3 linked regions of the Ovis aries genome follow. The protein of the gene in region 1 purifies or fractionates together with the protein of each later gene. This does not show direct contact. Links are inferred from orthologs where the notes say so. Each region holds a gene or a part of one and is shown on either strand. Other genes may lie near its edges.

What was found.
Region 2: the proteins of ARID1A (region 1) and SMARCD2 purify together in Homo sapiens (affinity purification with mass spectrometry; 7 studies listed by BioGRID and IntAct, with this or other methods). This does not show direct contact. The link is inferred for Ovis aries from reciprocal best matches to the Homo sapiens genes ARID1A and SMARCD2.
Region 3: the proteins of ARID1A (region 1) and DPF2 purify together in Homo sapiens (affinity purification with mass spectrometry; 6 studies listed by BioGRID and IntAct, counting the BioPlex papers as one, with this or other methods). This does not show direct contact. The link is inferred for Ovis aries from reciprocal best matches to the Homo sapiens genes ARID1A and DPF2.

The regions. Positions count from the first base shown.
Region 1 is NC_056055.1:240,201,250-240,205,393, reverse strand, and holds the start of ARID1A (AT-rich interactive domain-containing protein 1A), read left to right. Parts: upstream 1-1,321; 5' UTR 1,322-2,084; coding exon 2,085-3,230; intron 3,231-4,144. UniProt on the Homo sapiens protein: Involved in transcriptional activation and repression of select genes by chromatin remodeling (alteration of DNA-nucleosome topology).
Region 2 is NC_056064.1:47,811,049-47,814,470, forward strand, and holds part of SMARCD2 (SWI/SNF-related matrix-associated actin-dependent regulator of chromatin subfamily D member 2), read right to left. Parts: intron 2,451-3,422; exon of another isoform or gene 2,127-2,450; intron 1,850-2,126; coding exon 1,665-1,849; intron 1,473-1,664; coding exon 1,430-1,472; intron 1,270-1,429; coding exon 1,147-1,269; intron 419-1,146; coding exon 263-418; intron 1-262. UniProt on the Homo sapiens protein: Involved in transcriptional activation and repression of select genes by chromatin remodeling (alteration of DNA-nucleosome topology).
Region 3 is NC_056074.1:39,982,875-39,987,001, reverse strand, and holds the start of DPF2 (zinc finger protein ubi-d4), read right to left. Parts: upstream 2,819-4,127; 5' UTR 2,776-2,818; coding exon 2,744-2,775; intron 1-2,743. UniProt on the Homo sapiens protein: Plays an active role in transcriptional regulation by binding modified histones H3 and H4. Is a negative regulator of myeloid differentiation of hematopoietic progenitor cells. Might also have a role in the development and maturation of lymphoid cells.

The sequences.
Region 1 (4,144 bases):
TAGCTGACCTAGCATCTCTCAAGGCAGCCCTGGGCTTCGTGAGAAGCCGGTATCCCTTCTGGCCTGTGTAGCCTGTCATGTCAGAGCATTCTAAGTCAGTCAGAGGACAAGGCTGCTGCTGAGATGTGGTGGAGCCTGTGAATCTAGAATTTTCTGTGTATACCTCCAGTTCACTCAGCATCTCCCATTCAGCATCTCTTAGAATGTAACAGTAAACTTTAATGATTCCTTACAATGAAGGATAGAAAAACAAATTTAGGCTGCATCTGTTTTCTGAGTGAGGTGTTAGACTGCACCTTTTCTCTCTTTTTAAGGAGAAAACGGTTCCCTCTACTTGGTCATCCCTCTTCGGCAGAGGTTCCTTTGAACACTCAGGTTCCACCAGTCCCTGGAGTCTCTTCTGTGGTCTGTTACAGTCTTACAGGTACTGTCTTTGGAGACGGGACCTTGGTCATTGTGGGCAAAGGTGGGGCTTGTGTCTTCCTCCAAGAAGGCGGTCATATGTCCCCAAAATATCTTCAGGGGTGACCATTTTATATCGGTTGAGATGACCAGCTTGAATCTCAAACCCATTCTGATGTTCTGATCCCACTGTTGTATATGGCACCACTTTTCTTTTTATTACTATTATTTCTAACGCTAAGTAGACAGGGGCAGCACTGGGGACTCTGCTACTTTTTAAAGTCACCCTCCACTGCCCTTGTCTTTGTAAGTGATAGACTAAGTGATAGGCCGGTCCCCTTCGCTATCTTATGAGTCTGTAAAATGGGGATCAGGAACTTCGTGCCCCCAGGGCCTGTGAGGACCGGCTAATGAGGGCAGAGAGTGGGAAAACGGAAAGTCTGAAACAATGATCTGTCATTCCATGCAGCTTGCAAAGAGGATACAACGTAAAGCTCAGCTGGGTCTTTGGAGCAGGTCTGCAAAAGGCTTTGAAGAAGGAAAAGTGCCGCGGAGATGCTAAGTAGCGGCCAAGAGACCAGGCCCGCTGCCAGGGGGGGTCAGGCCTGGGCCGAGGCGGCCGCGGTCTCGGGCTCAGGCCAATTTTGCAGCCGCGAGTAAAGTTCACGCTGCCCGCGGCGCGAAGGGGACCGACCTGGATAGGGAGGCCAGGAGGGAGGCGGCGCGCAGGCTCCGGAGAGGCGCGAGCTCCGGGCCGGGTTTTCCCCGAAGCCTTCGGCGGCGGCGCTGCCGAGCGAGAGCGGCAGAGCGCTTGCCGCCGCCGCCGCCGCCGCCGCGGCTGGTTCTCTCCCCTCCTCCTTTGTGAGGGGAAGGGAGCGAGTCCGTTCCACGGCCTGCGCCCCGCTCCGCGCTCCGTTCCGGGTTTGCCAGGCGGCCGCGACGGCGCTGGGTAAAATGGCAGTGCTGAGCCTCGTGTCGGAGTGAGGGGGACTCGGAGGAGAGTGGGGCGCTCTAGCCGCTCAGTCCGGCCGCCCGCCCGCTCGCCCGCTCGCCGCCGCGCAGCAGCCTCGGCCCGGCGCCGCGGCCGGGGAGGGGAGGCAGGGCGCCCGGCCCGGCCCACGCTCCGACTCTGCCTGCCGGCGCCCGGGCTGCTGCCGCGCGCCCTCCAGCCCGCCCGTCCCGGGTCCCCCTCCCCCCGCTCCCTCCCTCCCTCCCCGCCCCCTCCCCCTCGCCTCCCTCCCTCCCCTCCCTCCCTCCCTCCTTTCTCCGGCAGCAGAAAGCGGAGAGTCACAGCGGGGCCAGGCCCTGGGGAGCGGAGCCTCCACCGCCCCCCTCATTCCCAGGCAAGGGCTTGGGGGGGAATGAGCCGGGAGAGCCGGGTCCCGAGCTTACAGAGCCGGGAGCAGCTGAGCCGCCGGCGCCTCGGCCGCCGCCGCCGCCTCCTCCTCCTCCGCCGCCGCCGCCAGCCCGGAGCCTGAGCCGGCGGGGCGGGGGGGAGAGGAGCGAGCGAGCGAGCGAGCGAGCGAGCGCAGCGCAAAAGCCGCGGAGCCCCGCGAGGCCCGCCCGGGCGGGTGGGGAGGGAAGCCCGGGGGGACTCGGCCCCGGGGCGGGGTGGGGTGGGAGGGGGGTGAGAGAAGACGAAGACAGGGCCGGGTCTCTCCGCGGACGAGACAGCGGGGATCATGGCCGCGCAGGTCGCCCCCGCCGCCGCCAGCAGCCTGGGCAATCCGCCGCCGCCGCCCTCGGAGCTGAAGAAAGCGGAGCAGCAGCAGCAGCAGCAGCGGGAGGAGGCGGGGGGCGAGGCGGCGGCGGCGGTCGCGGCGGAGCGCGGGGAAATGAAGGCAGCCGCCGGGCAGGAAAGCGAGGGCCCCGCCGTGGGGCCGCCGCAGCCACTGGGAAAGGAGCTGCAGGACGGGGCCGAGAGCAATGGGGGTGGCGGCGGCGGCGGAGCCGGCGGGCCCGGCGCGGAGCCGGACCTGAAGAACTCGAACGGGAACGCGGGCCCTAGGCCCGCCCTGAACAATAACCTCACGGAGCCGCCCGGCGGCGGTGGCGGCGGCAGCAGCGACGGGGTGGGGGCGCCTCCTCACTCAGCCGCGGCCGCCTTGCCGCCCCCAGCCTACGGCTTCGGGCAACCCTACGGCCGGAGCCCGTCTGCCGTCGCCGCCGCCGCGGCCGCCGTCTTCCACCAACAACATGGCGGACAACAAAGCCCTGGCCTGGCAGCGCTGCAGAGCGGCGGCGGCGGCGGGGGCCTGGAGCCCTACGCGGGGCCCCAGCAGAACTCGCACGACCACGGCTTCCCCAACCACCAGTACAACTCCTACTACCCCAACCGCAGCGCCTACCCCCCGCCCCCCCAGGCCTACGCGCTGAGCTCCCCGAGAGGTGGCACTCCGGGCTCCGGCGCGGCGGCGGCGGCGGCCGCCGGCTCCAAGCCGCCTCCCTCCTCCAGCGCCTCCGCCTCCTCGTCGTCTTCGTCCTTCGCTCAGCAGCGCTTCGGGGCCATGGGGGGAGGCGGCCCCTCAGCGGCCGCAGGGGGAACCCCCCAGCCCACCGCCACCCCCACCCTCAACCAACTGCTCACGTCGCCCAGCTCGGCCCGGGGCTACCAGGGCTACCCCGGGGGCGACTACGGCGGCGGGCCCCAGGACGGGGGCGCCGGCAAGGGCCCGGCGGACATGGCCTCTCAGTGCTGGGGGGCTGCTGCTGCTGCGGCGGCGGCGGCCGCGGCCGCCTCGGGAGGGGCCCAACAAAGGAGCCACCACGCGCCCATGAGCCCTGGGAGCAGCGGCGGCGGGGGGCAGCCGCTCGCCCGGACCCCGCAGGTAACACGGCTGGTGGGGTAGGGGGGGCTGTGGCGAGTGGGGCGGGGGGGTCCTGGGAGTGGATGGCGGCGGCGGGGAGCGGGCCACGGCCGTGGGCTACCCCCAGTCTGGGGCCCCCACTGCTGGGGAGCTGCCATTGTCTCGCTCTTTCTCTCTTAAAATGGCTGCCCGTCTGCCTTCCTCTCTTTCCCTCCTTCAGCCTTTGTGTGGGGCTTTCCTTGAGGTGTCTGCTCCCCTCCTCCTCCTCCCCGGGTCCCTTCCAGCTCCGGGGGGTCTTCAGAGGGGTGCGGAGCCGGGTGTGCGGGAAAAGGGCCCGGCCCGGGGTGAGGGGGTGTTGGGGGCTCAGGTTAGGGGTGTAGGCAGCCCTCGGAGGTCGGGAGTTGAGTGAACAGTTCTTTGCTCACCTGCCGCTCCTCTCTGCCCTCCCTACCTTCCTCTAGGCCGGTCCCCATCTGTGCTTTCAAGGAGGGGGCCCCTCGGGCTCGGGGGGACCTCGAGGGAGGGCAGGGGCCTGCTTGGGAGCAGCTAGAGCCCGGCTTCGGTTCACCCTGGGCAGCCCAGGTCGTCTCCTGTCTTAGTCTCCGTCGGCCCAGTGGCCTGGGCTTCTCCCTGGAAGTGCTGGTAAACAGCTGAGTGATTGGAGTAGTAAGTGCAGATTGCTTTGGTTTGGGATTTGAATTATGGAGGTAAAATCCTTCTGTCAAAGCCAGGAGACAGTTGGTCTTAGGTTGACATCCTATCTGTGATCTGATTGGCTCCCCATCTCCTGCTCTTGGCCATTTATAATTGCCTCTGATGTAATGGTACAACAATCCTGATGAGCTCATAAACTTTTACACTCTGCTTTTCTGCCAGTGATAACCCAAACCATCGCTGCCACTATCTGCCTTTTATTCCAGAGCTGAAATTGGCTG
Region 2 (3,422 bases), on another chromosome or scaffold:
CCTGAGGCACAGAAAGGGTCCCTAGGCAGCCCCGCTGTCAGCCAGTAAAGGACCGGAATTAGCAAGGGCACCCCTTCCTCAGGACACTCTATCGCCATCTGCAGGAAAAGCACTGTAACAACCACACAAACCTCCCACCTCTGGACTGGGTGCTGTGCCCTCTCCCTCCAGCAGGATGACCCCGGAAGTGCCCAAGTGTCTGGCCCAAGTCTGAAACCCACATAGACCACTGCCCCTCCAGACACCTCCTTCCCCAACTCACATCATCCAGCAGTTTTCCCTCTACTCGGAGTTCCCAGGAAGCCACCTTGTCCCCTGCGGGGGTTCCTCCAGGGGTCCCTGTGGTTCCTGCACTGTCACCTTCTGCCTTGCTGGGACTGAATGTATTGGAAATATAGATCCGCAGCTTTCGTTTTTGCTAAAGAAAGACAACAGGTTAACTAGACAGGGACCAGCTGCTACCCAATCCTCCCGTCTGAACTCATTTCACACCCATACAGAGAGTGCTATGGGTCAGGCCCCTAGTGAGGCCCTGGGAACTGGGCGAGGAAATCTCATCCCTCACCTTCAAGGGACTCACAACTTTATGGGGAAACATGCAGTACCAAAAGGTCCAATACAGGGGCATCGGTGGTGTGACAGATCCACTGAGGGTGCTATCAGAAGTTGCTGGCTCATAGTTTAAGTGAAACCCAAACACTCATCGTGGCTACAGAACATCGTCTCCCGGAAAGCCTCCACCATTCAAGGAACTGTTCTCTAGATAAAATTTCTCTAGGGACGGGGAAGAAGACAGGAACTATCCTCATCTACCCTCCAGCTTTGCCTTTCAAACTTCTGACCATGATGTATAATATTGTTTTAAATTATGATCCAGGATCTGCACATATATGCAAATATATGAATCAAAAATGTCGTAATTCCTTTGCTACTGTGAAGAATGATCATTTCTACAACCCTAATGTTCCATTAAAAACAGGCTGGCCTCACCACATCAAAGCAAATTCATGCTAAATGGGCTGTATCCTATAGTGTAAAACATCCTGCTCTAGCCCATCAGAGACGCCCACTTGGCCCCTGGAAAACAAGCCCAGGGAGGGGCAGAGAAGCTTGGCGAGGCCCAGGAGCGGCTGGGGCTGCACACACCGTCAGAGGCTTTTTGATGGCCTCCTGGATTTCCATCCGCTTTCGAGCAATGGTCTGGTCCAGCTTCCGTTCAAAAGCCAAGAGGTCCATGTACGCCTGAGACTCTGGGACAAGCTCCCGAATCTGGAAGTGTGGAGGGAGCAAGGATCCATCAGCTCATTTCAGCTGCAGCTCTGGCTCCTTCCTCACTTCCTCCCTCACCCCAAGGTGAGGGGAGACTGAGTCCACCCTCAGCCAACCAGCCCTTGGGTGGGCCTCTTAGGCCCTCTCCCAACATACTCACTCGCTGAGGTAGAACTTTATCTGCCATCTTCCTCCTCTTTAACCTAAGAGGACAGAAACCCAACGAAGAAGTCAATGGTCCAAAGGACCTCCCCGCCTCCCCACCTCTCCAGTCCCCAGGACCTTCCCAAGACAACCAGGAGTCTTCCTCAGTCATCGCAGCTCTTAGGACACACGGAAACCGTGTTACTGCCAGAGCTACGCTAGATGGGGTAGAAGAAACAGGAAGGTCTTACCCCCGGCGCTGGGCAGGCATCGGGGGCTGGGCCTGAGGCACAAGCAGGCGTTTTCGGAATGGGTCCATCATGGTGGGTGGCATGCCAGGTCGAAGTGGAGCAGCTGTGCCAAAGGGGGAGCCGGCAGGGGGTCCCACCTGCAAGCCAGCCATGGGCATCCGGCTCCCTGGGGACATGCCAGGCCGCTGGGGGAAGTGAGCCAATGGGGGTGCATAGGTCAGGGGTGGGGCCCAACGGGGCCCGTAACCCATTCCTTCCATCCCTCTCCTCGCCTGGGTCCAGTCCTGAGCAGCACACCACGGGGCCGCCGAGCCCAGGCAGGAGTGCCAGGAACAAAGGGGAGCAAGCGCCTGAGAGCAGAAGTGTAAACCACACCTGCCCCGCCCCCTTCAACCGCCCTGGCAGCCGTGCCAGCGAATGAGGCCCGCAGAGCCCAAGGGGTGGGAGGAGAACCCTGCCTGCAGGGAGAAGGGCCTGGGGGAGTTTTTCAGGGCCTATTGCCACTTGCAACCACCTTCTGGCCCCAGCAACACTCTGCCCGGCTCCCTGGACCAGCCGGCCTCAAGGCTCTCAGATGGTCCCACCGAGCACTCCATCCTCTCCTCCCCCAGCTTGAGGCAGAAGCCAGGGGCAGTGTCGTAGCCAGGCGGCGGACTGTGGCTGTGATGCGAGCAGGCTGACGGGGCACAGCCCCAGTGCCCGTCCCCAGTCACCGGCCTGGTGGTGTGACTGAGCAGGGAACGGCAGTCCAAAGGGCTGGCAGGCCCATCGGCAGCGGCACCGCAGGTGAGCAAGCTGCAACAGGATGGCTTGGAGCCTGTCCCGACGGGTGGGGGCGGCCTCAGGCAGAGTACACAGGCCATCTGGTCGCCATATGGCCCCTACTCACCACCCAGAACTGGACCCTTCTCTCACCTCTCTGCTGCCCAGCCCCCAACCTCTAGGCCTGAAGACTCCAAAGGGAAGCTGTGGCTCCCCAGTGGTCTGCGGAAGGGAGAGCAGCTGGCACCTGGCCTCTGCCTGCGGTCCACACGCCACCTGGTGGCTGGGGCTGCTTGGCAATGCCAAGCTGGAGAATGGAGATAAGATTAGCCTGGGATGCAAGGATCAAAGTCTTAGGATCAGCAGAGGAAGCTGGGTAGGAGGTGGCTTCTTTCAAAACCTGCAGAAGGGATTTCCCACTGAGGTCCGGCTCCCCAACATTACTGTGGAACCCACTGGGGAGGAGCCCCCACCCCCTTTCTTGTGGCTGCTGCTGCCTGCAAGGCCTGTTTGGCAGCTCTGCCTTGCACACACTGTCCCTGGCAGCTTCACAGGGCTGGCCCCAGGGCCCAGATTATGCAACCAGCACAACCAGCCAACCAAGCCAGGCTGGGTGGGGATTCACACCAAATCAAAGGACCCCCCCCCCCCCCCAACCCCCTTCCCTACCAGCATCACAGAGATGAGATTCCTACTCCAACTCTTCATCCCGCACTCATCCCACGTTCTCACCAAGGACGGTCAGATTCTTGACCAGAGGCAGACACAGGAAAAGAGGAGAAACACGACCCAAAGACAGGGGGAGGGGAGAAGGAGGGGGGTGGGAAGGAAGCGTTTGGGAGGATGGGGGGCCTCTGGAGTCCTGCCACAAGTCTCCTCATCAGGAGGAGGCTCCTCTGAGCTGCGGAGAGGCAAAGACAGCCTGCTTCTCTGCCTTAATGAGCCAGAGCTACACAGCTAGAGATGCTAGAAAAAAAAAACTCAGGGTGGCCACAG
Region 3 (4,127 bases), on another chromosome or scaffold:
ATCTCTGTCGTTTATGTTCGTAACTCAAGCTGCAGCAACAAACCCTGCTCTGGAATCGAAGAGGGGCTTTCATGGGGCAGCCACTGAGGCACAGCTTAGAACGTTCCCAGCAACCAACAAAGACATACACTGCACGCAGGCAGTGACATCACAAGATAGTCTGGCTTGATTCAATGTGCTGTAATGACTGTAATTTGAGGTAGGCATGAAGCCTGTGCTGGAGAATAAAGAGAAGGAATAGGCTCATATTTGCTCGCCTTTAGGAGGCAGCCATGTCCTCACTAAACAGAGGAAAATTGGATAAACAAGGCTGAGTGCGGCAGCGCCTTTGTTTCTGCTGATGGAAATTGATACTGACACTGTAAGTCAGATGGAAAGAAGGGCTAGACAGGCTGAGAACTGCAAAGTCAGAGCAAGGAGGCTGGAAACTGTCGGGGGTGGGGTTGAGATATGACGAGAGATGTTCTATCAAAGCTCCGGTGAGTTAAATGGGATTTCAGAAGGTGGGGCAAACTGCATTGTGAGTGAGAGCTGATAACGAAATACAAGTTGGAGGAAGAGAGGATCTGATGAGGATAGAGCAAAAAAGAATGAGAGAGCTCTCTTAAGAATCTAAGGCTCCTACAAGAAATTTTAAGCTAACATTCTCCAGATCTTGTTACCTAACTCAGAGGATTTCAGCAACCACAGCTCTTTTATACTATTATTTTGCCCTGTAAGACCTCTTAAAGATTGTTTCAATTCTGACACCACGTTTGGGAGGGATGGAGAATTTACAAACAGGAAAATTCTTCTCCCAGAACAAGATGCAAGTCAGAAAAGATGAGCTAGTAGTCCTGACCTCAATGTAAAACCTCAGCAGTCAGAAGACTAGGCACACCGTGGTCAAGAAAAGCGTCTCTTTACAGGATGAGAATGGTACAGGAAGACTGGAAGTCTCTTTTTAAAGAGCAGGTTCTGTACGAAAATGTATTAACTGTGGTCCACAGCTCTTTACAGCTAGAACTGAGGAGTAGAAAGTTGGTTATTTATTACTGGTACTCAGGAATCAGCAGTTGGTGACCTTCACTATCTCTACAGATCTTTAAAGAGAAATAAGAAGTCAAGCTCTATTTAAACGGGCAACCCCTCACTTCCAATACTGCATGAAAGGGTTGGTGACCTTATTTCTCAGATGAAAGTCTTCCAACATAAACAATCTCACTACATAAAACTCTTAAACCTAGGCAAGTTTTGACATTCCCCCATTACAGTAAGCTTTCCAAGGTAGAAGCTTTGATTCTTTTTTGAGAGGCATGAAACCTGTGTAAAACCTCCCTTTACAATGGGACAGGGGCAGTCAACAAAGAGAAAGACAGGGAAACAAAGAAAGAACATCTGAGTCAGTATGGATAACATATAAATGGTAGATCAGCAGCGTCATTTCTAAATTGAGGGAAATGTCAGCTTGGAGAGAGTGCTGGGGAAACTGAAGTGGGTAGATCAGAGAGGAAGATAATAAATAGTGCTGGGAGTAGGGGTGGCTGAAATAGGCAGCAGGATGGAGCTGAAAGCACGTTAGGAAAAAAAAAAAAACCCACAAGGAGAAGGCACTTAGCTTAATGGAAGTGGGAAAGCATTCTCAAAGAAAAGGCTCCAGGCAGGGGGAGGGAGAGAAGCAATGTACTCTTAGAAAAAAGGCTCTTGGGAAGAGTGGGGCTCAGCCTACTACAAAGACAGTTGAGAAGCTATGTGCCCCTTAGAAGAGTTCCCAAACCTTTACCTTCTCACCCAGTCAAAATCCAAAAGCCAAGCTGCACAACTGGTCACCTCATTTTTCCTACCCCTGCACCAAGCCAAATGTGTCCATTAAAGAGCTTGCTGTATTGGCCGACGGGGGTGGGGGTGCAAGAACCCATTGGAAAACTCATTGAGATTCTTCTTCGGGGAGGAGGCTGGATTAAATCAAGTCCCAAAGCATCTTTAACTCACAGCTAACAGGCCATTCTCAGTCTGCCAAACAACCATGAACTTTAACTTTGCTTGAAATCTGCCCAGTCCAAGAGTATTGCAGAGCGAAGAAGGTCGACCCAGATGCCCCTCGGGGCGGCCAGGGCGTCCTGGACTGCGTCCGTCCAGTGCCCACTTTCCGATGGCTGGGACTGGCCGGCGCCAAGCCCCTCTTCCCTGAAGTTCTTTCCCTCTGGATCTTGCTCTTCCACAAATTCTCCCCAGGAATATTTTTGGTCTCGGGTACCTGATACTCAAGGACCACCCCACCCCCGCCCCCGCCCGCCCAGGAACGTCACGGGGCTGTTCAGAACAAAACAGCCCTGAGCGCTTAACGGCGCCAGGGCGGCCGAGCCTGCTCCTCCGGGGCCCGCTGCGGGCAGCCGACGGGGAGGGGCCGGCGGCCAGGCTTCGCGGGGGTCGGCCCCGCTCTCCCGGACGGAGGCGAAGCCCGGACCGTGTGCCGTACGCAACAAGGGCGCCATACTCTGGAAACCTTCCGCCTGAGGGAGCGCCCAGCCCCACAGGGAGGCTGCCCGTCACGGGCTCCCGTGTGCCCCCCTCAGGGCCTCCACAAGTTTCCAAAGAAGCGCAACGTCTTTCCCGAGTCTCCTGTTGCCCTCCCCTCTAGGAGTCGCAACACGGCCTCTCTGGGCACGTCCCTCTCTCCGCCTCGTCCGTTCCCACACCGCCCCCTGCTTCCAGGTCCCTTACAAGACCTCCCAGGCTAGAAGAGAAAGAAACGGCCACTCACAGCTTCACTACATTTTCCACCACGGCCGCCATCTTCCCGGCTTCTCTCCCTCAGGCCGGGAGGCCCGGAGCCCGCAGCGCGCAGGCGCTGGGACCGCAGAGGGAACCAATTTCCTTGTCTTTCTGCGCAGGCGCCACCGGGGCGCGTGCGCCCGAGAGCGAGCGACGGAGAATGAGCTTCTGGCCAGTTCTCCCCGGCCTGGCAATCCGGGGACGAATGCGCAGGCGCAATGGAGGCGGGCGCGCGCCCCGAGGCTTCTGCTCCAGTTTTGCCTCATCCTTTTAGTGAGAAGGTAGAAGCGAGAGGATCTGACCGGGTCCATAAATGAGAAGGTGAGAGGTTGGTGAGAACTGGCAAGCCCAGAGGTGGTCTAGATGGAGGTCATGCGTCCTGTTACCTCGCTGACCTTTAACCTCGTGGTTAATAACCCTTTGCCCTCACGTACAGACTCAGGGGTTGGTGGGTAGCCGAAGGTAAGAGCAGTGCACACTCCTCTTGGGCTGCCCACTTTAGTGAGAGAAATATTAACTCCAAGAACCTGGCAGATCTTTGGCCTGAATATTTGGGTCTGACAAAAGTTCCCCCACCTTCCTGCCACCAACTTAATTGATCTCCACCTCTTCTTCCCTGCTTCCTACCCCTAAGCTCTTGTCCTCCTCTGAAGAACTTCTCTCCTGCAACTTCCTCTCCTGTACCATTCAGTTCTCCTTCGCTATTGAATCATGCAAATTCATCTGCAAACATGGCTTAATATCCTCTTTAAAAAATATCAGAGCCCTTCCTTAAGCCCTTTCTGCCTTTATCACCCTCTTTCTTTTCACCCTTTCAGAGCACATATTCTTGTTTATACTTACTATCCCTGCTGATTTATTTCCAAGTGTCTCTCTGCCCAGTTTAATGGCGATTTTGTTCTCATCAGTTCATTGAAACATCTAACAAAGACACCACGATCTCCATTTCAACAGATTTCGAGATCTCCCTGTCTTTATCAGCCTATCAGCCCTCATGACAACACTGGCCAGTCACTTCTTTTTCAAACTCATCTCTGAGACACACACTCTCCTGGCTGGCTGCCTATCACACTGCCAGCTCCTTCAGCTTCTTTTACTGGCTCTCTGTCCTCACATCTACCTAGACCCGTCAGAGTCCCCAGGGCTTGGTCTTTGATCCTGGTAATATGCCGTATTTCATCAATTCTAAGATGCACATATTCTCTGCCCTCCCCCCATTTTAGTATTTCGGAATCAGGACACATCTTACCATCATTGTGCCTTAAAATCAGGTTTGGCAGATGAGAGTTGAGTGGTATTTGTCATTGTTTACCCTGCACCAAATTTGCAGAATAGATGTCAGCAGCTTGGAAGGAAAACCTAGGGACAATACT